Linked DNA regions of Nothobranchius furzeri. The protein of the gene in region 7 purifies or fractionates together with the protein of the main gene of each other region. This does not show direct contact. Links are inferred from orthologs where the notes say so. Each region holds a gene or a part of one and is shown on either strand. Other genes may lie near its edges. The genes, in order: torsin-1A-interacting protein 2, fbxo7, klhl18, BTB/POZ domain-containing protein 2, ddb2, dcaf11 and cops6.

The links.
Region 1: the proteins of cops6 (region 7) and torsin-1A-interacting protein 2 purify together in Homo sapiens (affinity purification with mass spectrometry, with the first as the bait; 3 studies listed by BioGRID). This does not show direct contact. The link is inferred for Nothobranchius furzeri from reciprocal best matches to the Homo sapiens genes COPS6 and TOR1AIP2.
Region 2: the proteins of cops6 (region 7) and fbxo7 purify together in Homo sapiens (affinity purification with mass spectrometry; 4 studies listed by BioGRID and IntAct, counting the BioPlex papers as one, with this or other methods). This does not show direct contact. The link is inferred for Nothobranchius furzeri from reciprocal best matches to the Homo sapiens genes COPS6 and FBXO7.
Region 3: the proteins of cops6 (region 7) and klhl18 purify together in Homo sapiens (affinity purification with mass spectrometry; 3 studies listed by BioGRID and IntAct, with this or other methods). This does not show direct contact. The link is inferred for Nothobranchius furzeri from reciprocal best matches to the Homo sapiens genes COPS6 and KLHL18.
Region 4: the proteins of cops6 (region 7) and BTB/POZ domain-containing protein 2 purify together in Homo sapiens (affinity purification with mass spectrometry; 4 studies listed by BioGRID and IntAct, counting the BioPlex papers as one, with this or other methods). This does not show direct contact. The link is inferred for Nothobranchius furzeri from reciprocal best matches to the Homo sapiens genes COPS6 and BTBD2.
Region 5: the proteins of cops6 (region 7) and ddb2 purify together in Homo sapiens (affinity purification with mass spectrometry; 8 studies listed by BioGRID and IntAct, counting the BioPlex papers as one, with this or other methods). This does not show direct contact. The link is inferred for Nothobranchius furzeri from reciprocal best matches to the Homo sapiens genes COPS6 and DDB2.
Region 6: the proteins of cops6 (region 7) and dcaf11 purify together in Homo sapiens (affinity purification with mass spectrometry; 6 studies listed by BioGRID and IntAct, counting the BioPlex papers as one, with this or other methods). This does not show direct contact. The link is inferred for Nothobranchius furzeri from reciprocal best matches to the Homo sapiens genes COPS6 and DCAF11.

Annotation. Positions count from the first base shown.
Region 1 is NC_091748.1:54,201,219-54,204,529, reverse strand, and holds the end of torsin-1A-interacting protein 2, read right to left. Parts: intron 1,892-3,311; coding exon 1,125-1,891; 3' UTR 611-1,124; downstream 1-610. Other genes in the region: olfml2ba (olfactomedin-like 2Ba), read right to left, coding at 14-184. UniProt on the Homo sapiens protein: Required for endoplasmic reticulum integrity. Regulates the distribution of TOR1A between the endoplasmic reticulum and the nuclear envelope as well as induces TOR1A, TOR1B and TOR3A ATPase activity.
Region 2 is NC_091741.1:31,396,259-31,400,694, reverse strand, and holds the start of fbxo7 (F-box only protein 7), read left to right. Parts: upstream 1-1,309; 5' UTR 1,310-2,426; coding exon 2,427-2,520; intron 2,521-2,558; exon of another isoform or gene 2,559-2,759; intron 2,760-2,953; coding exon 2,954-3,080; intron 3,081-3,179; coding exon 3,180-3,375; intron 3,376-4,436. UniProt on the Homo sapiens protein: Substrate recognition component of a SCF (SKP1-CUL1-F-box protein) E3 ubiquitin-protein ligase complex which mediates the ubiquitination and subsequent proteasomal degradation of target proteins and plays a role in several biological processes such as cell cycle, cell proliferation, or maintenance of chromosome stability.
Region 3 is NC_091751.1:33,738,132-33,742,497, reverse strand, and holds the start of klhl18 (kelch-like protein 18), read right to left. Parts: upstream 3,117-4,366; 5' UTR 2,749-3,116; coding exon 2,620-2,748; intron 1,023-2,619; coding exon 892-1,022; intron 1-891. Other genes in the region: poly(U)-binding-splicing factor PUF60a, read right to left, coding at 3,953-4,252, 4,362-4,366. UniProt on the Homo sapiens protein: Substrate-specific adapter of a BCR (BTB-CUL3-RBX1) E3 ubiquitin-protein ligase complex required for mitotic progression and cytokinesis.
Region 4 is NC_091751.1:57,998,502-58,003,150, forward strand, and holds the start of BTB/POZ domain-containing protein 2, read right to left. Parts: upstream 2,975-4,649; 5' UTR 2,972-2,974; coding exon 2,397-2,971; intron 2,324-2,396; coding exon 2,204-2,323; intron 2,131-2,203; coding exon 1,974-2,130; intron 1,862-1,973; coding exon 1,756-1,861; intron 1,675-1,755; coding exon 1,477-1,674; intron 1,380-1,476; coding exon 1,187-1,379; intron 861-1,186; coding exon 773-860; intron 684-772; coding exon 537-683; intron 462-536; coding exon 300-461; 3' UTR 1-299.
Region 5 is NC_091744.1:65,533,832-65,538,173, forward strand, and holds the start of ddb2 (DNA damage-binding protein 2), read right to left. Parts: upstream 3,128-4,342; 5' UTR 2,995-3,127; exon of another isoform or gene 2,894-2,994; 5' UTR 2,892-2,893; coding exon 2,759-2,891; intron 2,662-2,758; coding exon 2,549-2,661; intron 2,034-2,548; coding exon 1,842-2,033; intron 1,755-1,841; coding exon 1,558-1,754; intron 1,418-1,557; coding exon of another isoform or gene 1,251-1,417; intron 955-1,250; coding exon 855-954; intron 1-854.
Region 6 is NC_091747.1:42,050,051-42,053,076, reverse strand, and holds the end of dcaf11 (DDB1- and CUL4-associated factor 11), read right to left. Parts: intron 2,880-3,026; coding exon 2,825-2,879; intron 2,658-2,824; coding exon 2,589-2,657; intron 2,420-2,588; coding exon 2,362-2,419; intron 2,138-2,361; coding exon 1,952-2,137; intron 1,868-1,951; coding exon 1,714-1,867; intron 1,640-1,713; coding exon 1,487-1,639; intron 1,338-1,486; coding exon 1,231-1,337; intron 993-1,230; coding exon 915-992; 3' UTR 687-914; downstream 1-686. UniProt on the Homo sapiens protein: May function as a substrate receptor for CUL4-DDB1 E3 ubiquitin-protein ligase complex.
Region 7 is NC_091741.1:79,987,571-79,991,703, forward strand, and holds the start of cops6 (COP9 signalosome complex subunit 6), read right to left. Parts: upstream 2,801-4,133; 5' UTR 2,717-2,800; coding exon of another isoform or gene 2,616-2,716; exon of another isoform or gene 2,313-2,615; intron 2,237-2,312; 5' UTR 2,207-2,236; coding exon 2,164-2,206; intron 1,087-2,163; coding exon 961-1,086; intron 793-960; coding exon 661-792; intron 497-660; coding exon 408-496; intron 1-407. Other genes in the region: F-box/LRR-repeat protein 12, read left to right, coding at 2,616-2,716, 2,853-2,928, 3,432-4,133. UniProt on the Homo sapiens protein: Component of the COP9 signalosome complex (CSN), a complex involved in various cellular and developmental processes.

The DNA.
Region 1 (3,311 bases), on a different chromosome or scaffold from region 7:
TGACTGCACCTACCTTGGAGATGATGCTCTCCTGACCTTCCACCTCCTCCTGCAGCTCCTCGTTCTGCTCTGCGCCGTTGTCAGGCTGAGACCTCCAGTCTGCATTTAGGGATGGTTTTGGTGCAGCAGACCCCCGAGAGAAAAACGCACAGCACAGCACGATAACATGGAATAACTTAAACATGCTGGAGGTCCCGGAGAGCAACCGCAGCCTGACAGTAATTTAAATGCAAGAGAATTCAAGTTTAAAAATCGTAACAGCGCATCAACAAAGCGAGATGTTGTTTCATAATGAGTGGAGGGTGGAGAAGCGTGCACCCAGGAGAGAAAAGCCCCGGTGTCTGTGGGAGAGCGGATAGGAGGCGGATCTGATCTCCAGGAAAGGAGGAGTGACCCAACCAGGACAAGCCCTTAATCCAAGTTTAAAATCTCCAAGTCACTCAAAATACTACATTAACCGCCCAGATATCACTTAAAGTTAACATAAATGGGGTTAAATATTCAATTAGCAGCCTGCTATTAGACTTATTCAATCACATCAGACAGGTGTCCTAGTACAGGTGATGTGATGCTGCCCTCCAGCGGTTGATTTAGTAATAACAGGATAAACTTAAAAATTAAAATTTTATTTGCAATTTAAGGCACGTTTAATTTATACAGTTGGTTTCATTCTTTCTGTAGTCTAACCTGTACATAGATGCAGATAAAATATATACATGTTCATGTTATGTTAAGGCATATGGAGTCTCTGGTGCTTTTAACATATAAACCTTGTGTTCTGGTGACTAAAAACGTGTTTTATCCAAAGAATGACGAAGACTTGTATAACAGCGGCAGTTGTCCCCAACAATTAGCAAACTGGAAAATCCAAACAAATTCCAGTTTCATTTTTCAAACCATTGAAACGACTTAAAAGTGCCCAATAGTTTTTTTTCATCATTTTTACAAATATGTTATTTTACAATAAGTCTTATTGAATATTGATGTGTTCATTTATGCTGAGAGATACTAAAATGTTTTTTAAACCACAACTAAAAGCCCCAGAATAAGCAGACTCCCCCTACTGACTGATATGTAGTGATTATTGCTCGGAGTTAAAGCTCAAATAAGACCTTCTGTGGCTTTTAGCACCCATCACACTCCATTCTTCCCTCTGCTGTTACAGGCAGAATAAGGTGTGAGATACGACTCCACAGTCCACCATATTTATCAAGATCCATGCTGTCAAAAGACACAGGGTGGCCGTGAGAGAGAAACTTCTTCTGCAGATGGTCGTCCACCATCTCCTCCACAATGCTCAGGTGAGTCTCGGCAGGGATGTCCTTCTCCTCGCCCAGCAGCACCGTAAAGATCAAAAAAGTATTTTTGTAAGCAGCGTTCTCGTGGTCGCAGTAGCGATAAAAGATGAGCGTGGAACCCGGGGGCAGCTCTTCAAAGCGGTGGATGACAGCCACGTGTTTGTCTCCCTCAAAAGCTCCCTGGAGCTTGTTGTCGATGTCCAGTTTGACTTGATCACTGTCTTGGCTGGCTTTGCTGGCTCCATCAATGCGGAGGACGGAGGAGTTGATAGCAGAGGAGAAAGCGTCGGACAGACTATGAGCCAGGCAGCACAGCGTCCTCTCAGCGCCGAGGCCGGCAGTCAGAATCAGACTCACCGGCTCGGTCGGCTGGGAGGTCTGGAGGTGCCTTTTCAGGTGGATCCTGCTCCGGTCCCAGAACTCTGAGCGCTGGTTGGGATACTGAGTCATCAATTTTTCCATCTTGTTCAGGAAGTCGTCTATATGCCGTTGATTGTTTTTGGGAGGTGGAGTTTTTGGCTGGGAGAAATGTTGCATCAAGATGGCAACAAGTACCACTAGAACCACCATGGCCATCACAAATCCTTTACTTCCTAAAGACAGAGACAGGAGGCTGAATGTTAATATTATTTTAGATAATTTGTCCTTGTTCATCATGTAATAACATACCACATTTTTCTGGAATGAAATGGCTGATTGGCTTAATTAAAATATAGATTTTCTAGTAATATTTTAAATGAGAGTAAGTACAGTCATGTCCATAAATATTGGGACATCGACACAGTGCTTACATTTGTGGCTCTATTCACCACCACAGTGGATATCAAATGAAACGAACAAGATGTGCTTTAACTGCAGACTGTCAGCTTTTATTTGAGGGTTTTTACATCCAAATCAGGTGAACGGTGTAGGAATCACAACAGTTTGCATATGTGCCTCCCGCTTGTTAAGGGACCAAAAGTAATGGGACAATTGGCTTCTCAGCTGTTCCATGGCAAGGTGTGTGTTATTCCCTCACTATCCCAATTACAATGAGCAGATAAAAGATCCAGAGTTCATTTCAAGTGTGCCATTTGCATTTGGAATCTGTTGCTGTCAACTGTCAAGATGAGATCCAAAGAGCTGTCACTATCAGTGAAGCAAGCCATCATTAGGCTGAAAAAACAAAAGAAACCTATCAGAGATAGCAAAAATATTAGGCGTGGCCAAAACAACAGTTTGGAACATTCTCAAAAAGAAGGAACGCACCGGTGAGCTCAGCAACACCAAAAGTCCCGGAAGACCACAGAAAACAACTGTGGTGGATGACTGAAGAATCCTTTCCCTGGTGAAGAAAACACCCTTCACAACAGTTGGCCAGATCAAGAACACTCTCCAGGAGGCAGGTGTATCTGTGTCAAAGTCAACAACCAAGAGAAGACTCCACCAGTGTGAACAGAGGGTTCACCACAAGATGTAAACCATTGGTGAGCCCCCAAAAACAGGAAGGCCAGATTAGAGTTTTCCAAACAACATCTAAAAAAGCCTTCTTCACAGTTCTGGAACAACATCCTACGGACCGATGAGACCAAGATCAACTTGTACCAGAGTGATGGGAAGAGAAGAGTCTGGAGATGGAAAGGACCTGCTCATGATCCTAAGCATACCACCTCATCAGTGAAGCATGGTGCTGGAAGTGTCATGGCGTGGGCATGTATGGCTGCCAGTGGAACTGGTTCTCTTGTATTTATTGATGATGTGACTGCTGACAAAAGCAGCACGATGGATTCTGAAGTGTTTCGGGTAATATTATCTGCTCATATTCAGCCAAATGCCTCAGAACTGATTGGACGGCGCTTCACAGTGCAGATGGACAATGACCCAAAGCATACTGCAAAAGCAACCAAAGAGATTTTGAAGGGAAAGAAGTGGACTGTTTTGCAATGGCCAAGTCAGTCACCTGACCTGAATCCGATTGAGCGTGCATTTCACGTGCTGAAGACAAAGCTGAAGGGAAAATGCCCCAGGAACAAG
Region 2 (4,436 bases), about 49 Mb from region 7:
CTGTTCTAGTCTTGTTAGATCTCAGTGCTGCCTTTGACACAGTTGATCACAATGTTCTTTTAGAAAGACTTGAACATGTTGTAGGGATCAAAGGAACAGCGTTAGGCTGGTTTAAATCCTACCTGTCTGACAGATTTCATTTTGTAAATGTACATGACAAATCTTCTTCATACTCCAGGGTTACTTGTGGAGTACCACAGGGTTCAGTGCTTGGACCAATTCTTTTTACTATATATATGCTCCCAATTGGTAAAATCATTAGACAACATGGGATAAATCTCCACTGTTATGCTGACGATACCCAGTTATATTCATCCATTAACTCTGATGAACCTAATCGGTTGGGTAGATTACAGGCTTGTCTTGAGGACATACAAAATTGGATGACTCAAAACGTTTTGCTTTTAAATCAAGACAAGACGGAAGTTTTCATCTTTGGTCCTGAAATTCAGAAAAGGATTGCTTAGTCAATCACCTGACCTGAATGGCATTACATTAATCTCCGAGAACAAAGTAAGGAACCTTTGTGTTATCTTTGACCGGGACATGTCATTCAAATCCCACCTTAAGCAGGTTTGTAAGATTTCCTTTTTCCACCTTCGGAATATTGCTAAGATGAGAAGCATACTTTCCAGGAGTGATGCTGAAAAACTAGTTCCTGCATTTATTACATCAAGACTGGATTACTGTAATTCATTACTCTCAGGAAGTCCACAGAATGTAGTTAAAAGTCTTCAGCTTGTCCAAAATGCTGCAGCTGGAGTTCTGATGAGAATTAAAAAGAGAGATCATATCTCTCCTGTCTTAGCTTCCCTACATTGGCTACCTGTTAAATTCAGAATAGATTTTAAGATCCTTCTTCTCACATATAAAGCTCTTAATAATCAAGCTCCATCATACATCAGTGATCTGATTGTTCCATACGTTCCTAACCGAGCACTTCACTCTCAGACTGAAGGTCTACTGGTGGTTCCCAGAATATCTAAAATTATGATGGGAGGCAGATCTTTTAGTTATCAGGCTCCTCTCCTGTGGAACCAGCTCCCAGTCTTAGTCCGTGAGGCAGACACCTTGTCTACTTTTAAGAATAGGCTTAAAACATTTTTTATTTGATAGGGCCTATGGTTAAAATCTGATGTTAGCCTAAATAAGGACAAGTGGGGGAGTAGAGGGAGGTGGAGTGTACAGTCGGTAAAGACGGCTCTCCCTTGCCCTGCCTCCAATATGCCTCATTCTAAAAAGGCTAGGTTATCCAGAGTTATCTCTGTAGTTATGCTGCTATAGGCTTAGACTGCTGGAGGATACAATGACCACTTTCCACACTCACCTACTTTGTTCTACAATCTGCCCTTTAACTGTATTACTTCCTGCTATTTCAGCTGTTAACTTTATTTTCTCTCTAAGTGTTTTTCTCCCCAGAAGAAGCTACAATGATGTTCTGCTGAGCTGTGGTGGCCTCATGGAGGGGGCCATCGTCTAGCACACTGCTGCTAACCACTTAAACATTCTCCCTCTCCTGATAACTTTTTACTCTCTTTGATGTTGGATGTGCTACTACTAGTTTACCCGTTTAATTATAGATCCACTAGGATAAATACAATAAAGTTTATCTCTCACCAAATAGAATATTTACTAAGACATCACAATGTAACCACAGAATCAGAAACTTTTTTCTGATTGGCTTAATGAATTGACCTGTATTGGAATGGTTATTATGTGAAGTACCTTGAGACGACTCTTGTCGCGATTAGGCCCTATATAAATAAACTTGAATTTAATTAAATTAAAAGTTTAAATACATGAGGAGCTGGGACCTTGAGTGATTGGAAGACAAGAGGCAAGTGGGAGCAATTAACATGGACACAGAACTGAACGGAAACTGGGGAGACAAGACAAACTGTGACACATACATTGGTGATCTTAGTCCCTACACCCCCAGCATGTCCATGAGTTCCAGTGACCAAAGCCTACTGGTTGTGGAGCACCAGGCTAAAGACCAAAGGTGACAGATCATCTGCTGCTGTGGCCCCCAGACTCTGAACCTCTCTCCCCCTGAGCCTGAGATCAGTGGACTCAGTGGTCTCCTTTAAACTCACCCGTTAAGGCTTTGGTGGGACCTTCAACACCACCACCTTGTTCTTATTCTGCCTTTCCTGGAATCCACTGATTTCCCTCTTTCCTATAAAATTTCTCTCTCCCTTTCCATTATATATTTAATATAATGTTTACTTTTTTCTTTAATTTTAAACATATTTTTATTCTTTTTTTTTTACTTTTTAAATTTTATTAAATTTTTTTGTGAAGCTCCTCGTGATTTTTATGTTGAGAGGTGCTAAACTGTTCTGGGTCTTATTTTGAAAAGTCGAAGCGGAAATTACGTCTCTTCAGTTTCCGATGTTTCGTTTTCACTGATAGGAGAGAATTTCATGTTCTATTATAATGTGAGCTTTTCTCGGTTTACCTGTGAAGTTCTGGGACTTTCTGAAGATAACCCGCAGGTTTCACTAACTACCCGTCCAGGTTAGTTAGCTAGCTTGTCTCGTGCTACGCAGCAAATACGAAACGTTTGATATGAAAGGAAAACGAAATCGTCATTTTCCAGAAGCGATCGTTTATTTTACAGCACTGTCGTGCGTGCTTATTTCGTTATTATTATTGGAACCGTAATCTAACAGATTTTCATGACACTTCTTTGTTCGTAAGCTTTTTGGATAAACCTGTGAGTCTCTTACATGGTGGAGGTTGGAGTGTGACTAAAGGTGTGGACAGAAGTTGGTGCCATTCCCATGTAAACATTCTGTGCTTTAGGCGCATTTATTCATCTATAAGAACCGATTTTGGTTGGAATCCTGAATCTGAGGTTTAAAGTTCAGTTGCTATAAGTTGAACATGTTTTTTATGTAAGTAGAGGTCATGTGATCTTACGGAAGCCGGTGTGTTTTGTTTATTTCAGACAACATGAAGCTACGGGTCCGGATCAACAAGCAGACCAGCAGGGTGGACTTACCTGGAGAAGAACCCACTCTCACAGAACTCTCAGATGTCATCAAGCAGACACTGCTGACTTCTACTGGACTTGGGTCAGACTTCCGGATGGATCCATTTATTCTCTTTTTCTTGTCTCTTAACCAGCGTGTGTCCCAACGGCTCAATGCTCCGTTTTCTTCATCTCCTTTCAGTCTGAACACAGAATTCAGCTTGTCTCTGAACGGCTCTGAGCTTCTGTTGGACTCTGGTCAGACCCTGTCTTCCTTTGGGATCGTTTCTGGAGATCTGATCTGTGTGCTGCTCCGGCAGCCTCCAGCAGTCGCCGTGACCTCAGGGGAAACCAGCTCCACAGCCCCAATAACTGACGATCAGCAGACCGCCACTCAGGTGAGCTCACAGTGACGCAAAAGTGGGTACGCAGTGTATGCGACACATGGGGCGCCAAAGCAATGATGCAAGAACATTTTAGTCTGACGTTCCTCTGTTTAATAACAGCCGTGTTCTTGTCCATTTGTGTATCTGCTAATTATATCATTAATAAGAGAGAAGCACATCAGTGATTAGGCGCCCCTCCGCTTGTTAACCCCCCACACCAAAACAGCGCTCTGCCACCACACCACTACACTCTGGGGTTGGAGTAGATGGTTTTATACACGAGCCACAGAAGTTGTGCGTTTATTTATTTAAACGTTGTAGAAGCTAGTCGCACTAATGGAGCCCAGCTCTGGTGTCACAATGAGAGCTAACGTGAGCAGCTCCTGTCTAACGGGGACGGCGGGTGGAACCAGGCCCCAACTGGGGAAATTCCCGATGGCCCGGTTGAGTTCAGTGTTGTTGTTTTTTGGGCTGGTGTCACTCTAGATCACCTGCTGCTGATGAGAGGAGCTCTCCTGTCAGGCACTGGTGAGCTGCTGCCAACCCAAACCCAACCAGCTTCTGCTCCTAGGAACACGTTCTAGCTCAGACTGTAGTGACCTGTTATTTATAGTTTATAATTAATGTTAGGTATATTCCACAGCTGATGGAAAATGAGATTAAATAACCTGAACATGTTCTCCCACAGCTCAGCTCTGTTAGAAATGAGCAGATGTCTGCTTCAGCTGGACTACATCAAGTAGAAAAGTGTCCACAGATAACTGATCTTTAAACTTTAATATTGATTTTATTTCATTTCTAAGGTCTGGATGTCTGTGAACTAGGGCTGGGGGTAAACGATTATTTTTAAAACGATTATTCTGACGATTATTTTATCGAATAGTCGACTATTCTAATGATTATTTAGACGATTAATCTAACGATTATTTTTCTATTGCACAATTACTAAAAACCAGAAAATCTCAAATAAATTCCTCAAAAAACTTGATAAATGGTTACTGTAAGAGAATAAACACTACAGGCCTTCCATCTTGTATAACACTGCTTTTATTGTGTTGGTTGGTTATGTTCTG
Region 3 (4,366 bases), on a different chromosome or scaffold from region 7:
CAGAATAGATTTTAAGATCCTCCTTCTCACATATAAAGCTCTCAATAATCAAGCTCCATCATACATCAGTGATCTGATTGTTCCATACGTTCCTAACTAAACACTTCGCTCTCAGACTGCAGGTCTACTGGTGGTTCCCAGTATGTCTAAAAATAGACTAGGCTTAAAACATTTTTATTTGATAGGGCCTATGGTTAAAATCTGATGTCAGCCCAGATCTGGACAAGTGGGGGAGTAGAGGGAGGTGGAGTGTACAGTCGGTAAAGACGACTCTCCCTTGCCCTGCCTCCATTATGCCTCCATCTAAAAGGCTAGGTTATCCAGAGTTATCTCTGTAGTTATGCTGCTATAGGCTTAGACTGCTGGAGGATACACTGACCACTTTCCACGCTCTACTGCTTTCTTCTACAATCTGCTCTTTAACTGTATTATTTCCTGCAATTTCAGCTGTTAACTTTATTTTTTCTCTAAGTGTTTCCCCCCCCAGAAGAAGCTACAATGATGTTTTGCTGAGCTGTGGTGGCCTCATGGAGGGGGCCATCGGCTAGCACACTGCTGCTAATCACTTAAACATTCTCTCTCTCTTGATAATAACATTTTACTCTCTTTGACATGGTAAATGGTCTGTATTTAATACAGTGCATTCTAGAGTCCTGGAACCCCCAAGGCACTTCACAACAAGGTCAGTCATTCACCCATTGATACACCCATTCACATTCTGGTGTGGATGAGCGACAACCCGCCTTGCCTGCTGACCACCACCAGCAGGCAAGGCGGGTTAAGTGTCTTGCCCAAGAACACAATGATGGCGACAACTGAGCGAGGCTTGAACCAGCAACCTTCAGATTACGGGGCGATCGTCGCCCCAATGGAATGTGTTAGTATGGTTACCTGGGATCCATGCCTTGCATCAGGATCTCATCCTGTTTGCACTCCACCATGTCATTGGTGAACATGGCATGGAAGTACGGGATGGAGGCAGCCAGGACAATCCGGTGAGCGCTGAACTTATGATCGCCGACCTGCAGAGAGAGGACACCCACAGTTACCTCCAGGCCAGAGCTGGGTGGCAGAATCATAGCAGCCGCTCCAGCGTGGCGGCAGACAGCTGCTCAGTGTTTGAGTGTGAGGTCCTCATACATTCTGGCAGCAGAGGACTGAGTGTATGAGGACCACACAGCAGTATCAGTGAGAGAACAGGGAACAAAATGGAGAGAGAGAGAGAGAGAGAGAGAGAGAGAGAGAGAGAGAGAGAGAGAGAGAGAGAGAGAGAGATTGATATGACGGTGGGACTCCTCGCTGGCTGGTGCTTAAGCGGAGAACCTCTCACACCAGTGGTGTTCTGGTGCTAAAGACGTGAGTTTGTGATGAGTGGAGGACCCAGGGAAGGGTGGCGGTTCGGTGAGGCCAACATCCGGATGGTCCAGTGGTTGGTTTCGGTGTGAAATACGTTATTGGTGGAGATTTTTAAACAAATGCGAGAGAACCACACTTTTTGATCTCCATAATTAATTAACAGCTATGCTATGTTTGAAGGTTAAGAGACACGAGAAAATGTTTAATTTGTAGTAGCAGCTTTGATAGTTGGTTACTTTCATATTTTGTCCAGGCATGGGTGGAGACGTATTTCATCCACACTTCCTGTTCGGAAAACGCTTCTGAAAGAGGCGTGGCCTGGCGGACCGAGAGAGGCACTGATAGACTGCCACACTAATGATTACACATGTGTACTGCACCATTGGCATACATGGGCGACGGTGGAACAGGAGTTAAGTGCTCGCCCCGTAATCGGAGGGTTGCAGGTTCGAGCCCCGCTCAGTCTGTCGCTGTGTCCTTGGGCAAAACACTTAACCCAGTTGCCTGCTGGTGGTGGTCGGAGGAACCGGTGGCACCAGTGCTCGGCAGCCTCGCCTCTGTCAGTGCGCCCCAGGGCAGCTGTGGCTACATTGTAGCTCATCCCCACCAGTGTGTGAATGGGTTAATGACTGATTGTGTTGTAAAGTGCCTTGGGGGGTTCCAGGACTCTAGAAGGTGCTATATCAAATACAGGCCATTTACCATTTTACAAGCTGGTTAAGTTCAGCGTTTAAAACTGATAAGGGTCTGAAATGTTAGTGATAATCATCGACATATAAATATAATAATTCAGACAAAAGAAATCAGGATTCTGTTGTTTATTTTAGAAAACCCCTGCTAGGAGGTTCTGGTGGGTCCATAAACAATACTGAGCCTCCTGAGGACTTGTGGGTTCTTCTCCAGCTGGACCACCAGAACCTTCACTGGCAAAGCGCTTTAGAGTCCGCTGACTCAAGGCGCTGCGACTGAAAGTCACTTATCGTTTAACGAGTTGGGTCAAATTAACACTTCCGGTTTCAGTCCACCTGTGCTGCAGATAATTGATCATAACAGTAGGTGTTGTCTGAGCGTGCTGCCGACCACAAATTGACCTTTCACCTTCATAACCCCTAAGTATTAATATCGGTCTAAAACATTCGCATATGAGCGTCTTCCGGCCGGTCACAGGTCACGCATTTAACGTCATACCACCGATGTTAGCCTGTTAGCAACTTGTTAGCAAGCTGTTGGGTCGCGGACCGAGTCCACGCCGTCAGTGTTTACCTTAATCGTGACGTCACAAAGCTTTCCCTGACGTCGGATCTCCTCCATGACGACATAACCTCGCGCGGGCAGGTCGTGCACGGAGAAATGAACCAAATCTTCGAGCTCTTCGCAAAATCCGTCTCCCATCGTGGGCAGGAACTCAACCCTTCACAATAAAACAACTTCCGCTTCTGTAGTGATCTCCAAAATAAAGTTGATTTCAAACTGATATGAACGTCCGACCGGAAGTGTCTAACGTTCTGATCCAAGCGGATTTAAATGTTTTACAGAACCTGATTTGGAACTGCAATTTAAAGCCATTTAAAACATTTATTCTTGAAACAGATGACTTTACCAGACCAGCTTTGGCCGGGGTTTGGACTGGTTCTGTTCTGGGTTGGTGAACTGGGAAAACCCAATCAGACCAGAACCTGAAGTCTGACTTGGATCAGGTCAGAAACTGAAGCTGGAACTGAAGGTTTCCCAGGAAATCACGAACTTCCCATTAGCTCAGAAACGTGTCAATCAATTGCTGGAATGACGAGTTAACTCTCAAACATGAAGAAAGTTTCCATGGAAACAGGACCACTGAGAATCAGAGGAACACTGCGTATGGATCTAAACGGTTGAGGGAACCAGTCTGCTGGAACTCTGTAGCTGTCCCCGGATCAGGAGCGTTCTGAATCAAATAACCCAAACCCTATTGGGACATCAGAACTCCACAACCAACAAATGGTCTTGGGTCGGATCAGCGGGTCCTTGGGTCATTTTATTAGAAAATGTTTCAAAACAATCTGCAGCAGCATCCCATGAGTAAAAACAGCTGAAAAATCTTTATTTACATTTCACCTGAAACAGCCAAGCCGCACCAGAATGCACCTGTCCTGATGATCCACTTATTTCTAGTTCTGGTTTGGGTTCTGCTTTGAATTTGCTGCCAGAAAGAAATCCTGCTTGACTGCCGAGTGGTTAGGAACGTTCCTGTGGTTAGGGTGGACCCGCTCAAACCTTCTGCATCCTGCTCACCATTTTACACAAGTCAGACCTGAATTAGCTCCAGACCTGGTCCTGGGCTCCAGGAGGACGTCCCATCTGGATCAGCTGTGACATGAAACCACCATGTTCTGTTTGGACCCAGCTTCTGGGTGGACCTGGTGAGTTCAGCAGAAAGTCATGTGACGGTTCAGGAGGTGTCAGGGGCCAGTGCTGTGAGAAGAATGATGAGCAGGGCAGAAGTGATGGTAAAACGTGAAAGACAACCTGAAGAAGGTGTTTCCATGGAAACAAGACCAATAAAAACCAACCCAGTAAGAAAGAGGCCACTACGTTAAGGTGAAAGTTCATGGTGGCTCTACGCTGACAGGTCACTGCTGTCGAAGCGCTCCTGATCGTAGACCTCCGCCACCACCTTGCGTCCTCCGAACCAGCGGTTGTTGAGTGCCTGGATGGCTCGGTTCATCTCTGCCACCTCAGAGAATTCAACAAAGATCTTCACCACGATTTCAGCATCCTCCTCCTCACCCTGGCGCTCCTGGTAGATGATGACTCGCTTCACCTGCCCAAACTTTCCACACTCCTCCATCACCTCCCCCTCCAAGTCATCGTCGATATCTTCTGGCCCGACCATGTTCCTCAGAACCATGACAATGGACTGGAAAGGACAACAGGTTCAAAGGTCAGGGACCAATGATGCAGCTGACGTTTAACAGCAAAATTAGACTAAACAGCAGGAGGCTGATTCTGGTCCAGGCGCCGCCCACCTCCT
Region 4 (4,649 bases), on a different chromosome or scaffold from region 7:
TGACGTCTTTCACCTCTCAATCCCTCGTGGAACTGGTGCGGTAAGTTTGTGCCAGAAGCCGATACAACTAGAACAAAAATGGACATACGGTATGCAAGATGACAGTCTTTGTCCTGTGTAGCAACCTAAATCACCCCCCAATCTATTAGTCCTCCCATGCAGCTAACGGTTGTGCACTAAGTGGAGGGGAACAGTATGAAGTCTGACAGATTAGTCCTCAGTACGGCTGCTGAGGTGTGGCCTCACGCTGGTGTCAAGCCGTCACATTTGATGGAAGATGGTGGTGGTATCTGAGGTGACTATGTGTAGAAGATGACCTCGGGAATCTGTCCGTCCTCTACTGAAGTGCCGTTGTTGTTGCCTGCTGCGTAGCAGAATGTGAAACAGGTCTTTGTGCCAGTGGATGATGACTCATGCGTTACCTTCCGCATCCCTTTGGTCCCATAATGAGAATCTGGACCCTGTGACGCACAGAAAAAAAAAGGATGAACACACACATTCTGGCTCCCTTTAATTAGCTCTCAGGAGTCACACACCTTAAGTGTAGCACAGGCGGTGTAGTTGACGTTAGGTAGAATCTCCACTGGTTCCTTGAACATGACCCTGAAGGTGTTTGCCGAACCGTCGCAGCTGAAGCCCGTGTCGTTCTGCCCCAGCACCGTGTTACTGTCTGTGTGAATTATCTACAACACGTGCAAATGTCACAAACACGATGAAAACACTCCAAATGATCAGAAACAACTTAATACTGGAGCAGTGCTTGGAGTGGTACCTGTATGTTGACTTGGTAGTCTGTAGGTCCGTGTATGGAGCCGTAGAGGCCAAAGCCAACCACAAATATCCGTCTGTTAACAGAGAACCTGTGAAGAAAATTATCAGGAAAGTGTGACAGATGGAATTTAGTATTCAGAACTAGTCGTCTATAATAATCAACTCTTAGATAAAATTCAGTAACAACTAATAAATATCTTATTAAATCATTTGATGTATGTGGTACACTGTTTGAGCTAAAAACACATACAAGTTAAATGTATTGGTAACACAGATAACCCCTGGCCCTTTGTCCCAACCTTAAGATCAATAGTTAACAATATCGGGAATGTAAATGAAGGATTACTTAGTTTATTAATACTTTATAATGCATTAAGTAGTATTAGTAAAAGAGACTAAACTTCGGGATTCTTACCGTATGCGGTCACTCGTTCCGCTGTAGCCCCAGCGACTCTCCACCTGCCCAAATCGGGTGATGCTGCACTCCTTCCCTCGGAGGCAGCAGCGAGGACGGTCGATGAAATCCACACGAGGTTTTGGGTTCACTGTGAAGTGGAGGAAGAGGCTCACCACCTCTCTGTCCGTCAGAATACTGGACTGGGCCGGACCTGAAGGATAGGACCCAAAGACGAAGATTAAATTCAGAATCACAGCATCTATGCATGTCTAAAACAGAGGAAAAACACGTAGCTTGTTCATCCTTACCTGCAGCAAACTCCTCAATGGTCATGAGAGGGAAGCGGATCAGAGTGAGAGCTTTTCCCAGGGCTTTACGCATGTTCTCGGGCGTCGGCTGCAGCTGCTGCCTGCGGGCCTCAGCCTCAGCCCAACGGACAGCCGCTCCAAACAAACGCACCTCTCTGACTCCGAGAGTGTCCCTCTCCAGCACCGCCACCAGCGTATCTAAACAGAAGCAAACAAATCATATTAAAAGTGTAATTCCACAATGTAGAAATGGCATGAATATGTACAGAGGCACTTTACCTAAATCGATGTCCGTGAATCCCTCGGCGGCGAGAGCATCTCCGGTGTTCTTGTCGATGTTTTCCAAACAGAGGCTGGCTAGCTGAGGCTCATCGAACAAACGCGCCTGGAACAGAAATCACAACCTTGCTTTTACTCACAAATTATAAAAATAATAGAACACTCAAACATGAATTGAATAAATAATGATGAAGGAAACTGAGTTGATGGGAGCTGACCTGTGTGAGCAGCATGAAAGCATTGTCTGCTCTCAGGTTCTTCTTAAGGAAATCCACACAGTGAGCCTCCAGGGCTGGAACTGCATACTTCTTAGCTGTATAGAGGGTGGTCATCACAGTCTCAGGCCCAATCTGGACTTCATCAGAGTACAAGAACCTGCAGGAAACCACACAAACTAGGGTTGGTTTGTGGGAATGTAAACTGTTACGCTGGACTGTCTGGTTCTTACTTCAGCAGGGCCAGAAAGGCAGCTGGCTCCACATCTGGAAGCTCAATTTCCGTGGAGGTGGTGGCCATCCCTCCGTTGAACATGGCATCAAACACTGCGCTCCCCACAGCCAGAACAAACCTAAAACAAAGAGAGAGGGGGCTGTCAGATCTTTGTTTAAACGTCAGAGCAGGCTCATGTTGGAGGTAATTACCTGTGAGCTGGTATTCTCTGAACACCCATCCCTTTGCCAACCAAGAAATGAACGTCACTGAGCACCTCGTTGTTAAAGAGAAACGCAAACCTCTCCTTTACGGTGCTCTTTGTTGCCTGCCAGTTGTACACCGGCTCTCGGTAGACCAGCACAGACGCAGCAGCCGGAGTGGAGGTGGGCGCTGTCGCCGGGTTGGCGTTTGACGCAGCGGTGGTCATCATGTTGGACGCCGGGGAGGCCATTGCTCCGGCTGCCGCAGCACCTGCCGCAGCCGCAGCGGGCGACTGCAAAGGGTTCTGCGCAGTCGGCGGAGCTCCGCTCGACACACCGCTGCTGTCTCCCCCGGCAGGCCCCAGCTGCGGGTTGGACCGCCTCGCTGCTCCCTGTGCACCTCCAGCTGCACCGCCTGCTCCTCCGTTGAATGCTGGCATTGAGAAAACGCTGTTGCTGGGCTGGCTGTTTCCCAAAGGACCCGGGCCGGAGAAACTGAGGCAAGGAGGCCTGCCGCTGTTGTCTCCAGCGGACATCTTCAACCTGGCGTAGGCGTCAACAACAAACTTCATCGCTTTCTTCATTTCATGTAGTCTAAAGGGTCACGTCTGCCTTTTGTTTCCCTCTAGCGGCCACGGTGGGTACTACAATCTGCTGTCCTCAATGGGTTAAACTAAAAAACTTATAATTCACTTTTTTCTTTTCTTAAACAACATTAAAAAGTTAAAACATCAGACCAAAAAAATTTTAGGCTGAATTTTAATAAAGCACATATGGAAAAAAAACATCTGATATTTCCCCTTTGAGAATATTCAGCCTCCTTATCAAAATAAAACTTTTAAAAAAATGAACCTCTATTTTGTAGCTAACTGCTAATGGCTCCAATTGTAGCTGGTTGATTTGATCTTGTTGAACACAGATTATTAAAGTAGAGTTGTTGATTTTTAGTAGTTAAGTAGGTTGTAGTGAGGACTTTCTGGCATTATTTAGACCAGTGGTTGTCAATCCTGGTCCTGGAGCACCTGTATCCAGCACGTTTTAGTTGTTTCTCTGCAACAACACTTGATTCAGCGGTTGAATCCCCTGTGCAGCAGCTTATGAAGCTCTGCAGAAGCCTGTTAATTAACTGCTGATTGAAATCAGGTGTATGGGAAAAATGTTAACACTAAAATATGCTGGATACTGGTCCTCCAGGACCAGGATTGGGTACCACTGATTCAGACTTAATTATGCTGTTAACACTAATTTCAAACCTGCAGTCATTTTAAGTGGTATAGTTTATTTTGAAGGAATCCACAGGAAACGCTCTTGAGTTTTCTCGTGATTAGCAATATGAACATTGCCTGTAGAGACAGTTTTGCTCCAGCAGATAGCAGGAAAAATCTTTAATCTCGAAAGCTAGAGGATTGAGTTTATGTTTATGTTTTTACACATAGTACAGTTGTTAACCTATAGGGCATGTTAATGAGTTATTGTGTTTCCATCGAACTGACCTAAATAAAACAAATACATCCCTTATAGACAGAGTGGGCATCAGTCAAACCAAATTTCAGATTGCAAGTAATTACGTTAAAAGTTTATTAGTTAAAGGCATACTATGCAACTTAATATTTTTAAATCATTTTCTTGAGCCAATATGTACTAAAATGACCCTACGGGGTTAATGAAATGTCACCCTCTGTGACCAAAATACCACACATGCAACTTTAGAGTGCCAGTCCGGTCCGGTTGGACTTACTAAAGTGGAGTTGACACACCTGACGTTGCAGTCTGCTTCCAGCATGTTTCCTGCATCTTTTAGTTAGTTTTTTTAGTGAGTTGTTATTTTGTTTGATTTAGTGATTAAATGGTCTGCATTTGTATAACGCCTTCTTAGGGTTCTACAGTCCCCCAAGGTGCTTCACAACACAATCAGTCATCATTCACACACACAGCTTCACATTAACACACTGGTGGGGATGAGCTAAGATGTAGCCACAGCTGACTGAGGCGAGGCAGAGGTGATTAATTGCTCCTGGCTGAGGAGGCATTTCTGCAGTTAGAAAAAGGTGTTCTACAATGTTAGATTCCTGTCTGGTGTTTTAGTATCAATCATGTGACTTGGCTGTTTTTACTCTGAAATATTGTTTTAATGTGTAAAATAATTGGATGAGGAACATGTGTGGATGACTGAGACCTTTGGTGTTGCGGTTCCCTCGTTCAACCAGTAAATGCTCTTCCTACACATGGTCTGAAGTTTTCTCATATTTAGGAACATTTCCA
Region 5 (4,342 bases), on a different chromosome or scaffold from region 7:
TTAAAATGACGTTATTTATTTATGAGCGTCGGCGTTCAGAGATTTTCTCATTCTGGTGTGAGAGCAGCAGCTGAACCCGGTAACACCACCAGCAACAGAAGCTGGTAGGGATCCGGACTTTTTAAAAATCAGCTTTGGTGTAAAGTGAAACGCTGTTTATAACAAAGTTATAAATCCAGCGGGGTGAATTTAGGCAAAGTCAACAACATGTTTACATCGGTGAACAGAGAGAACATAAGCTAACGCTGGTAAGCTAGCTAACATACCGCTCTCTGTGAGCCCCGGCTAGATGAGTTACTTCTTCTGATAACTGAACTGGGCATGAACTAGTTGAAGGAATGCTGGAGGAGTTTTGTTTTTGTTTTGATCGCAAAAACAATTTCAGGCTCTACTTTTCCCTTTGTTTACTAATCGTGTCGCTCACTGTTTAAATGCTTTTGCCGTCCAGCATGGTGGACCCACGTGATTAGGTGACATCGGTGCAAAGGGTCAATTGTCATGTTACTGTTAGCCAGTCAGAGCTGAGATGTCCAAATATTAGGAAATAAGACTTCAAAACCTGCCGTCTGAAACTCAGCTGTGATGTGGCTCACTTCTAGTTCCTGGAAATGGTGCTCCAGCATTTTTTCCTTCTCTAAAACAAGACTGTTCATGACCTCTGCCTTAGCAAATCTGCTGATTCTCTATCTGCTGCTTTCAAGCAGATCCGTTTCATTTTTAAAGCAAAATTATTAAAGACCACGCTTACATTTTCGGGGCAGTTATGACAAAATAAATAAAATCCAGACATTTAAAATCTTAAACCTCTAATCTATAAAGAATTGGTAGAGATTGCATTTAAATAAATAAATTACCTTTTGACCATCCAGTCCGACAAGTAAGAGCTGCCCTGTGTTATCACCGGTAACGAGCATCTGCCGACTCACAGACACGTCAACACAGCAGTACCAAAAGCTGTGAAACACAATGAACAAGTCAAGTTTTCTTCATTCATTATGTGTTCAAAAAGCTCTAAAATAACCTTTTAATAAAGAAACGTTTAGATATTCAACTATGACGCTAAAGACATTAAGTCCTGAACATCACTCAATCACATCTGTAAACATCTACAACAACAAATGTGAACTAAATGTCTTTTATAATAAGATGTTTAAATCAGATTAGCTTTGAACGATTTTCTTCTTTACCAATTTGAAGAAAAGCGACGAAACGAGTCTGCCTAGCATCAGTCTTCTATGCGGTTTTCTCACCAGACATTGTGGTGCTCGTGAGCACAGTCCTGAGTTCTGGACAGCAAAGTGGGTTTGTGCCCCTCAAAGCTCTTTAGGGTCAGCGTTCCCTCTCCAGAAGCCACGTAGACCTTGGACGAGTCCATGGGACAGAACTTCATCCCTCCCAGAGAGTCTCCCGCTCCATTCTGTCCACACACACACAGATCCAAGCCAGTAAAGTGGAAGCCACCACTTCAGTCTGAGGCAACCGGACGAGAAGACTGATGCTAGACTGAACAGGCCTGACCTCTGACCTTTACAGACATAAGGAGCTCTAAAGTCTTACTTCAGTGCATCTGTTCTGGCAAAAACTGTAAGTGTCGTCCCACTGAACTCTCGCAGGGCTGTCGTACCCCCCATGGATGAGGTGAACAGCTGAGAGGGGTTTAACTGGTTAAACTTCATGTCTGTAACTGAGTCTCCAGGCCCCATCTGAGCAGAAAACCAACAACAGTGTCTTCGTGCTCGTCTGACATACACAACCTGGAAATCACCCGTAACAATCTAATAAGCCCCAAAGCTGCTGCAGTGCTGAATGGGGGTGAAAACCAATCCGACGCACACACTCACCCCTTGAATAAAGCTTTTTCTCGTGGGGTTGTTGAAGTCCCACAAGAAAATGTCTCCACCTTTAGAGGCTGCAGCCAGCGTGGTGGGATGGGTGGGGTGCCACTCCAGACAGGTGATTCTGCGATCGAACGGACTGCTGGCGCCGTGGAAGTGGTAGGAGGACAGGGAGCGAAGGAAGGGCTCCTGGAGACACTGCAAGAGACGAGGAGCACCTTTTCACCACATACTCTCTCCATCAAGACAAACCGATACATGCTCAAACACGTCTGGTGCTCCTCTGATTCACTTCTGGATTAATTATCAGTCAGAATATAGGAACCTGTTCTGCAGATAAAGAACCAAGACCCTCACCGGGGATGGGGATGTGTCACACATGCACCTTAGAGTGCGTGAAGAACCGGAAGCACTCAGCATTTTTACTCTGGATTGTATTATCTTATAGTTCTTATTGCTTTAATACACTTTTTTACTTCCCAGGAACAAAGAGAAACCTGGTGGTGCCCTGGTTTTGGGGCATGTACATCAATTCATGCTCGACTCTCTGAGAATAAAATTCCATGATTGCTCAATGAAGATATTTGTTTTATTGGACAAAATTACTGATTTAACACTCTAAAATAACATAAAAACTATATAAAATGGAGGTTTACCACGCATAATGAACACAACCTGAACTGAGTTGATGCAAGCTGAGCTTCATGTCTTACTTGTCTCATCTGAGAGTGTAGGCTTTGGCCCAGGGTGCTTTTGTAAATATAATGCAGGATGCTCGCATGGTGCCCGTTCCTCCTGTGGACTCTTGAAAACTTACAAGGAGGCCCTGTGAGATATAATCACATTCGTCTGTCAAAGCCAGAACATTTCAGGTACAGACAGCGTGAATGAAATGAAGCTGTCCCATCATCAGAGCTGCACACCTGGATCAGATGTTTCTCCATCCTTTCTGTCTCGTGGTGTTTTACAAACAGCTGGATCAGAGTCTTTTGCAGCTCGTTTCTTCTTACTTTTTGATTCGCATGCGTCCGACTTGTTGGCGGGCTTGTTTTTCATGTCTTCCTCGTTGAATCGAGCGTACAACACAGTATGAAAGACACGAATCGCCTCGACAACGAATCCTCGATTTGCCTAAACAGTTTTCATTGCTGCCGCTTACCTGGTCGCTGGTGAACGCTACAAGAGAGGCCAGCACCAGGAACTTCGGCGTTTGCATAAGCAGCTGTAAACGTGACTATAATGGCTGCAAATGTTTTGTAAGATGGGTGCGTTACCACTGGATGGCTGCAGGTGGCACTGTGGATAAAACACATCACGATCGTTAGCCATGTTTAGAGTCGTCGTCGTTGGACTACAAAGTGACGTCACCTTAAGTTATCGAAAATGTTCTTTTGTATTGTGTTTATTTAATGTTACATTCTTAAATATAGTTTCTGCTCTAGCTGTACTAATGATTCATTTGTGTATCGTAGATTTATTTTAATGACACTATCACAGGTTTTAAGGCTTGTAATAAAATTATTTTATGCCAATTTGACAAACATAAGCACAGATAAAATAGGTTGTGCATGTTTCAGGCCACATTTATTTATTTGTTATTAAAATATTCAGAAGCATTGATTGAAAATATACATTAAAATGTTCTAAACCTAGTGTGGCAATTCATCTAGCTGTAATTGTAATAATTAAATATGTGAAAATACATGCAGTTACTCCAAAATAACCAACTCATTTATATTTATAACAAATATAAATATAAACCAATGTTTATATTTATAAACAAAATGACTTTGTATACAAAAAATGTTACAATAAATTCATAAGAATTAGGCCACTCTGGCTTCAATGTCCATTAACCCTGAGGAGAAAACATTCTAAAATTATGATGACATTTCCTTTGAGAAAATCTGATCCAGATATCTTTCTCTTTTTCTCACAGGAAATAAAATAATTCAGTTTAAAAATATGTATGCAGTTATCCCTTGTAACGACTTTCTGCAAAAGCAAGTCAACATAAATATCAGTTCACCCAGATATCAAAATAGTAGAACACCTTTTTTCTTTGCAATGTCAAAAATGTTTCTTGGAAAGATTTTCAAAAGTTCTTGTTGTGTGAGAATCTATTCAGCTTTCAACTTTTGATCTGATAAAGGATTGTTGTCTGACAGGACATGAAGAATCAAACCGTGGTAACAATGTAATCCTTTTGACTCAATTTTTAATTAGTAAGTGCTGTTTTCTTAAATCATTTCCATTTTCCACATTTTAAGTGAAATAATTGATTCCAGAAAGCGTTATTTCATTGAAACAATAAAAAAAACTAATTACTAATAAGTCAATAATTGTATTTAAGAATTAAAAGTAATATTTAAAATGGCATTACTTCCTGTTTATGCTGGCTGTTTTTATTTTTTTCATAGACTGTCGTTTGTGTTACTTTTTCCGTTCTAATTATCTTTTATGAAACTCGCCTTGTTCTAATATGATTTCTCAACAAAGGTTTATCA
Region 6 (3,026 bases), on a different chromosome or scaffold from region 7:
TGTTGCCATTGTCAGTGAACAAACAATTCACAAACTAGGAACTTGGACTAGGATATGAATAAATATCTGGAATATACAAATAGAAATGTGTAAAATAGGACAGGTTTTTATGACAGCAGGCGGCTTTTAGGCTGAGACTGGAGCAGTGTTGAATAAAATGCAGCAGGGACACATTTAGAGTTTTTATATATATTTTATTGTAACTGTAAAACAGCAGTATCTCATTTTCAAACAGCAGTTTGAAAGTGAACACCTGACAATTGCATATTACAGATCAGAGTGAATGTTTGGACCATGTGCTCGTCCCTGGTTCTGATTGAACACCACATCACACACATCTTTTAAACGTGTCACGGCCTACACCGGCCAACAGAACCACCCTTTAAGAACAAAAACAGAAAGAACTGAGGGTTCTGGTGCTCATTTAAATGATGCTCCCTACTGGGAAACAGCCAATCAGGTTGAAGTGTAGGGTTTCTGACTTAAATTCTAACAGCAGAGTCTAGCTGACAGCTACCTACACACTCTCCCTGAATAGACTTACCATTAAAATACTATACATGTATACAGAATCACCACCACCCACCTTAATCTCATTAGCTTACATCCTAGCATCCGACTGCAGGAGTTCCCGCTCTTATGGCTGAGGGAACAGTTTCAGACCGGGTCAGAATAAAAACACAACACCGGTCTGTTTATTCTGCAGAACACAGAGAGGCAGTTAAAAAAAGAAAAGCACAAAAGAAATACAGGGATCATTCGCCTTAATGCCCGTCTGAAGGAAAACCTGTGATCCAGCGTGATTTTAAAAGATATTAAAGTCTCTCACAGCCTGACCGAGCTAACACACACCCGCCAGGATGTCTCCTCTACTCCTCCATCTCTGCTCCTCCCTGGCTGTCCTCCTCCACGCGTCAGTCCTTGTCCCTCTCACGCTCCTCCTCCAGAGGATGGGTTTGTCTGTGCTCCCACATCCGCACCGCTCCGTCCCACTGTGGACACAAAATCTTCACGTTTTAGTCTTGTTTGATCATTTGCAGGATAAGATGGTTAATGATGTCACTGAGATCATTAACGTATTATTTAAAAATGTTCCTTAATGATCATTATTCAGATATTAAATTCTTAAATCTGTTGTTTCATTAGATTACAGGCTGCCTTTTTGATTGACACTTGGAAAAAACTCACTTCAGATTAAATTTAAGTTTCCCTGAAGGCGTTTTAACTCACAGAGCTGCTGATGATCTTGTCCTCGTACGGGTGCCAGCTGACATCCCTCACGCACGCGTCATGACCCGACAGCCTAGATACCACCACGCCAGTCAGCACATCGTAGACTAGACACACACACACACACACACACACACACACACGTTTAGAGCACTTCAGTCTTTTAACGAGAAGCACGTCCTGTCATCTCACAAAGGGTTTTACACACACACACACACACACACACACACAAACACGCACGCACGCAGAGACTCACTGATGATCTTGCCGGTGGAGCAGCCGGAGTAGATGTATCTCTGTCCAGTGCTGAACTCTGGAGAGAAGCGGCAGCGAATGAGCGTGTGCAGAACGCCGTGACCGCGGTAGGTCATCACTGAGGTGTCGCCTGTCAGCTTGTGTCTCTTTAGAGCTGAAACCCAAACACGAATAAATATAATAAATGACCCGTTCTCCTCCCCATCTGGTTCTCCTCCCTCTCCTCACCTCTCTGGGGAACCTGCTGCCAGCGGTAATCCCAGTTCTGTTGCGTGACGGCTAGGCGGGAGGCCGCCAGACCCTCTTTGGGAGAGAACTTCCTGATGTCCCAGAGCTTGATGGACTGGTCCTTTGAGTTGCTGATTAAATAGCGGGCATCACCCTGAGACAAGAACAAGACGCTAGCACTGTTAACTCGACCAGTCGTCCACCTCCTCCTGACTAGTTCAGGAACTTTCCCACCCACCTTGCTGTGGATGAAGGTGATGCCGTCTCTGTGTCCGGCCAGCTGTCCAACGGCCTGCGGTCTGTCTTCCCGCAGAGACCGTCTGTCCCACACCTTACACACAGCGTCGTCACTGCCAGAGAAGAGCAGCTGGGACGAGCTGTCGGCAAACGCTACAGCGTTCACGTCATCCTCGTGGGCATCAATCTGACAAGGAAACAGAAAGTGTGTGTGTGTGTGTGTAACCAGTGAAAAACAGCAATGGAGCAGATTACGCTAAACTGCTGGATGATTTCAAATGTACATCAGCCCACATATTTATAGCCAGCCACCAGAACAGACTGACCTTTGACCTCTCACAGGTGTGTGTGTGTGTGTGTGTGTGTGTGTGTGTGTGTGTAGGAGAAACCATGACAACCAGCCACACTCACCTTCAGTGTTCGTTTATTCTGCTCAAGATCAAAAACATAAAGGCAGCCGTCGTTTGCCCTGAAAAGCCACCACAGGAGAGATGGGTTACATTTCAGGTGTGTAATCTGATTACTCCTCACAGGTATGAAAAGTGTGTTCCCTCACTCAGAAGAACGAGTGGAACGATACGTCTAAACGTCCAAACCAGCTTAGTCCTGATTTGAGATGTAAAAGCAAAAGTCCTCACCCGCCCAGAATCTCTTTTCCATCTGTTGATGCAGCCAGAGAGAACACGCAGAACCTCCTCTCATCTGGACTACACACACACACACACACACACACACACACACAGTGAGAGGATGAATGATGGCATGACAGCATCATTCATTCATCCATCCAGGTGGTAATGAGGGGAGAGGAAGGCCAGCTGCTGGGTGACTGATCATCTGCTCTGGTCTGCGTTACTACGGAGGAAACACTCACTTGAGGTCCAGGGCGGTGTGGTTTTCACCGTCTCCATCTATGCTGCACAGATGAACTGTAGAGAGGACACAGACAGACAATCACATCTCCTTCGGTTATTCAACAACATCCTGTTAATCTAAAAGAGAGCTTTGGTCTGAATTTTGTGAAGCCAACAAGGAATGGCAGTTCTCCCCTCATCCACTAGGGGCTGGCACCAGAA
Region 7 (4,133 bases):
CTACTCTTTTTAGTCTATTATCCATTGCACTGCTCCGACTCTACCCTTGGGAATTACTCTTAGCATTTATTTCTTGTTGTTTGTATTGCTTGCTTGTTATATTTTGTCTTGTACAGTGACCTTGAGAGCTTTGAAAGGCGCTTGAAATAAAATGTATTATTATTATTATTGAAATGTTTACAGTGTGGGCTTGAGAGACAACTCATGTCATGATTTTTTGCTATATAGATAAACTGAATAGAACTGAACATAACTCAAGCCACAATTTGAAGGATTTTAAGACAATTTTTGGAAAAAATAAAGTTTCACACTGCTGAACGAGGTCATGTTTGCTTTTATGGTCATTTTTTAACTTTGTCTTTTATCTCCTTCCAGCTAAGATCACACGGACGTCAGAGTGTTTCTACCTGTTTGTGAATGTGGATGTCTGACTGGTCGGGGGGGCCACCTGTGGTGTACCAGCCCAAAAACTCCATTTCTTTGAAGACCTGTTTAACTGAAAGACAAAATGAAAGTTAACAATCATTTTGAAAAAAAAAAAAAGAAGAGGAACTTGATTTACAAAGTTTAAAACTGAACACATTTCATTATTGTCTTATTAAAATCACCCCATAAGAACACTTTACACCTGTCAAACGTGTTATGTTTAAACATGCTTACACTGTTCCTCCTTGGTGTAGTAGTACTCCTTGTCAATGTGCACTTTGTCATCTATGGTGTGAGACATAAGTTCAAAGGAGTTCATCACCTCGATGTTTCTACCCTCCTGTTTTCCGATCAGAGCCCCGATCACTGAAAGGAGAACACATGATGAACAACACTTATTATTATGGCATTAAACGTTACTGCATTTTAATTACAGAGAATCTAAGTCAAAGCTTTGATAACTGCAGGGTTTGTTTCTCCCTGGAAGCAGTTTTTTTTTCTTTAAGAACAAACAGGTGAGAAAGAGACACATACCCTGCATCGGTCGCCCTTCCTGGGAGCGGATGCGTATCCAGTGGTCTGATATGTTGAGGATGACCAGAGGGTGCAAGGCCACAGAAACGCTCCCGGTGACTCCCGAGGCCATGACACTAGGGCCCACTACAGACACGTGGACACAGATGTAAAATAAGCTTTAACTGGACACCAGCAACATGTAACATAAAGCTCTTTACTCGAAAACAAACAAAAACTGTAAAACAAATGACTGGTTTTGGGAAAAAGGAGGTTGCATTTTAACAAACAGCAAATATTTGAAGTTTTATTATGTATAAAAATAATATTTTAACTCCAATAAGGCAGATCCCAAAGAATCCCTCGTATGTCTCATTTATCAGATAATCAGCTGAAGGATGTCTCCACTAAATCAGAAATTGGACTAATTAAATGTAATGCTCTCAATTCTCCTTTTAAAGAGTTGTCTCTGTGGTATGGCGCTAACTGCTGCAGCACTATGGGTGAATCAGTTTTTTTTAGATGCTGAGAAAGTGTCAATCACATTAACCACAGCAATATCATACCCAGATACCAACCCAGACAAACAACAATAAACAAGCAGATGTTTTTGTTTATATGGCCAATGTTTGATGTATTTATTGAACCAAGAAGATCCCACTGAGATTAACAACCTCTTTTTCAAGGGAGACCTGGCCAAGCTAGGCAGCAGCCAGGATAAATATAACTGGTTAGAGTTAGGTTTGCATCATCACACAGAAATAACAAAGCCGAATTGAAATAAACTTAGTAGTGAAGCCATAGGTGGGCGAAAATAAGGGAAGCAACTGAACTGTAGTTTGTTTTTGCCAAAATGACGTGACAGAGCAATGGAAATCAGGTGTACACAACGTCCCTCGTGTGCTCCTCTAATATGCTGTGCTGTAATTTGAACAGAATACATAAAATAGTATTTTCAAAAAACAATTAGTGTATATAAATTTATATTCACACAAGTCATCCAGACTCCAGTCAAAGAACAGAAAAGGAGCGACGGTAACATCCAGAGTCATGACTACAGACTGAGCAGTGCACGTTAACCCACTTATGTCAGCAGCAGCCTTTAATGACACTAAGTCTTAACTTGGGGTCATTCACACCCAAACTGTACAGCATGTAAGGGAATCGTACATCCATCTATGCTGATGTCAGACTTAAATGGTGAAATAAGAAATAAATACTCGCCTGCCCCATCCACTTCCATTCCTCCACCATCGCTGGTCGCCATCTTGTCCGGTGTGTGAGGCAACAGCGCCTCCTGGAGTCACAATATACCATGGTCACACAATTCGGTGCAACATCTATTCAACGCGCAGGCGCAGGAGGGCTGTTCAGCTAACGAACGTTAGGTGGCAACAAACTGCATTTCAGGCTGTTTCAAAACAAGGTGTGGAGCTCGACCTTTGTCAGAAATTTGTCAAGTGTTATCAAAAGAAAGAAAATATCGACGGAGACACAACTATCCGAAGGAATTTATAATATTGTATGTTCTTTAATCCAACGTCTAGGTCATACAGCATCATACAGTCAACGAGTAGCCGTTTCCTGGGGATTACTGATTTGGGCGCAACCCGTGTGCGTCAGGATATTAGTCCGTGTGGAAGCTTTACGAGTTTTTTTTTTTTTTTTTTAACGAAATGGACGAATTTAAAGCCTGTAATCTGGACTACTTTCCCGAGAACATTTTGATAGATGTTTTGTCATACCTGAGCGTCAAAGAGCTTGTCAGAGCTGGAAGGTAAGACCTGTATTCCAGCTGAAATTTTGCTTGTATGCCAAAAACTCAGCGCCAGGCTTTTTCTTTGTTATGACTCATCCGGTGGTGTAAGTGAGTTTGCTCTGTGTTGCTGCCATTGTTTTCCTCTTTTTTTTAGGGTGTGCAAAAGATGGAAACGCCTTGTTAAAGACCAAAGACTGTGGAAAACTGTCGACTTGACCTCATGGAAGGGGGTAAGAATTGTCAGCACACTGTGTGGCTTTAACGTTTTATTTATCTGATGTTTATTCTTTATGAAAATAATCACAATAAAGTAACACCTGCGAGTTACAAACAATGTTGCATTAGGTTTTAGACATAAAATATCTGTTCCAGTAACACCTGTGTCAGAAGGAAGTTATTTTTAATGTTTTGTCTGAATGACTAAATTATACGCTTTTTCATAAATATGTACAGAAACGGTAAACACAAAGTTTTGCGTTTGTAAAGTCACTTGATGGTTTTAGATGCAACACCAAAGTAAAAGAGGAACTTTCTCATGAATAAAATCAACTTATTTACCCATAATGAACCAGTCAGTGATACGTGTGTATTTTAACCTAAAGAAAAATGTGTTTGTTTGCATAGTTATTAACAGTTATTTTCTCCTTTTCCCCATCACACACACACACACACACACACACACACACACACACACACACACACACACACACACACACACTATCCACTGTGTCAGGTGACATCCCGCATCCTTTGGGTCCTGCTGCGTCAGTACCTTGGTTGTGGACTAAGATGCCTTCGCTTGCGAGGTTTGCTGCTGTCAGCCCGAGGCGGCACCTTTCTCTCTGAGTCTTGGCTCAAAGCTTTGTCCACAAGATGTCCCCGTCTGAGTAAGCTCTACCTTCTGCATACAGACCTGAGAAGTCTACCTAACTGCCTGGTTTTCCCTCGAACTTTGAGAGTGCTGGAGCTGCGTGGTTGTGAGTTGCCTCGGGGTTTTTTCAACCAAAGCTCTTCTAATTCAGCCACTCATCCCCCTGGCAAAGCAGAAGCCACTTCTAGTGCTCCTCATCAAGGAAGGGATCAGAAAGGAACAGGGCTTGGCTCTCCTCTGGGAGTTTGTATTGAGAAGTTAATCCTCAACAATGTGCCCTCTTTCACAGACCAGCATCTGCAGAGTCTAACATCGTGGCAGAGGCTAAGTCAACTGGAGTTGCGTGACACTTTTCGTATAACAGCTAATGGGCTTCGAAATTGTGCAGCCAAGGATGGTCTCTCGGGGGTAGAAGGGCTCTCACGGCTGAAATTTCTTGAAATAGGAATTACGGGACGACAAGGATACCAGTTACAGATGGCCTCCCTTGGACTAGGGGCAGGGTGGATTGGACTGGAGGAGCTGAGTCTTGGTGGTAAGGAGGTGGGGCCGGGTTTGCTCTGT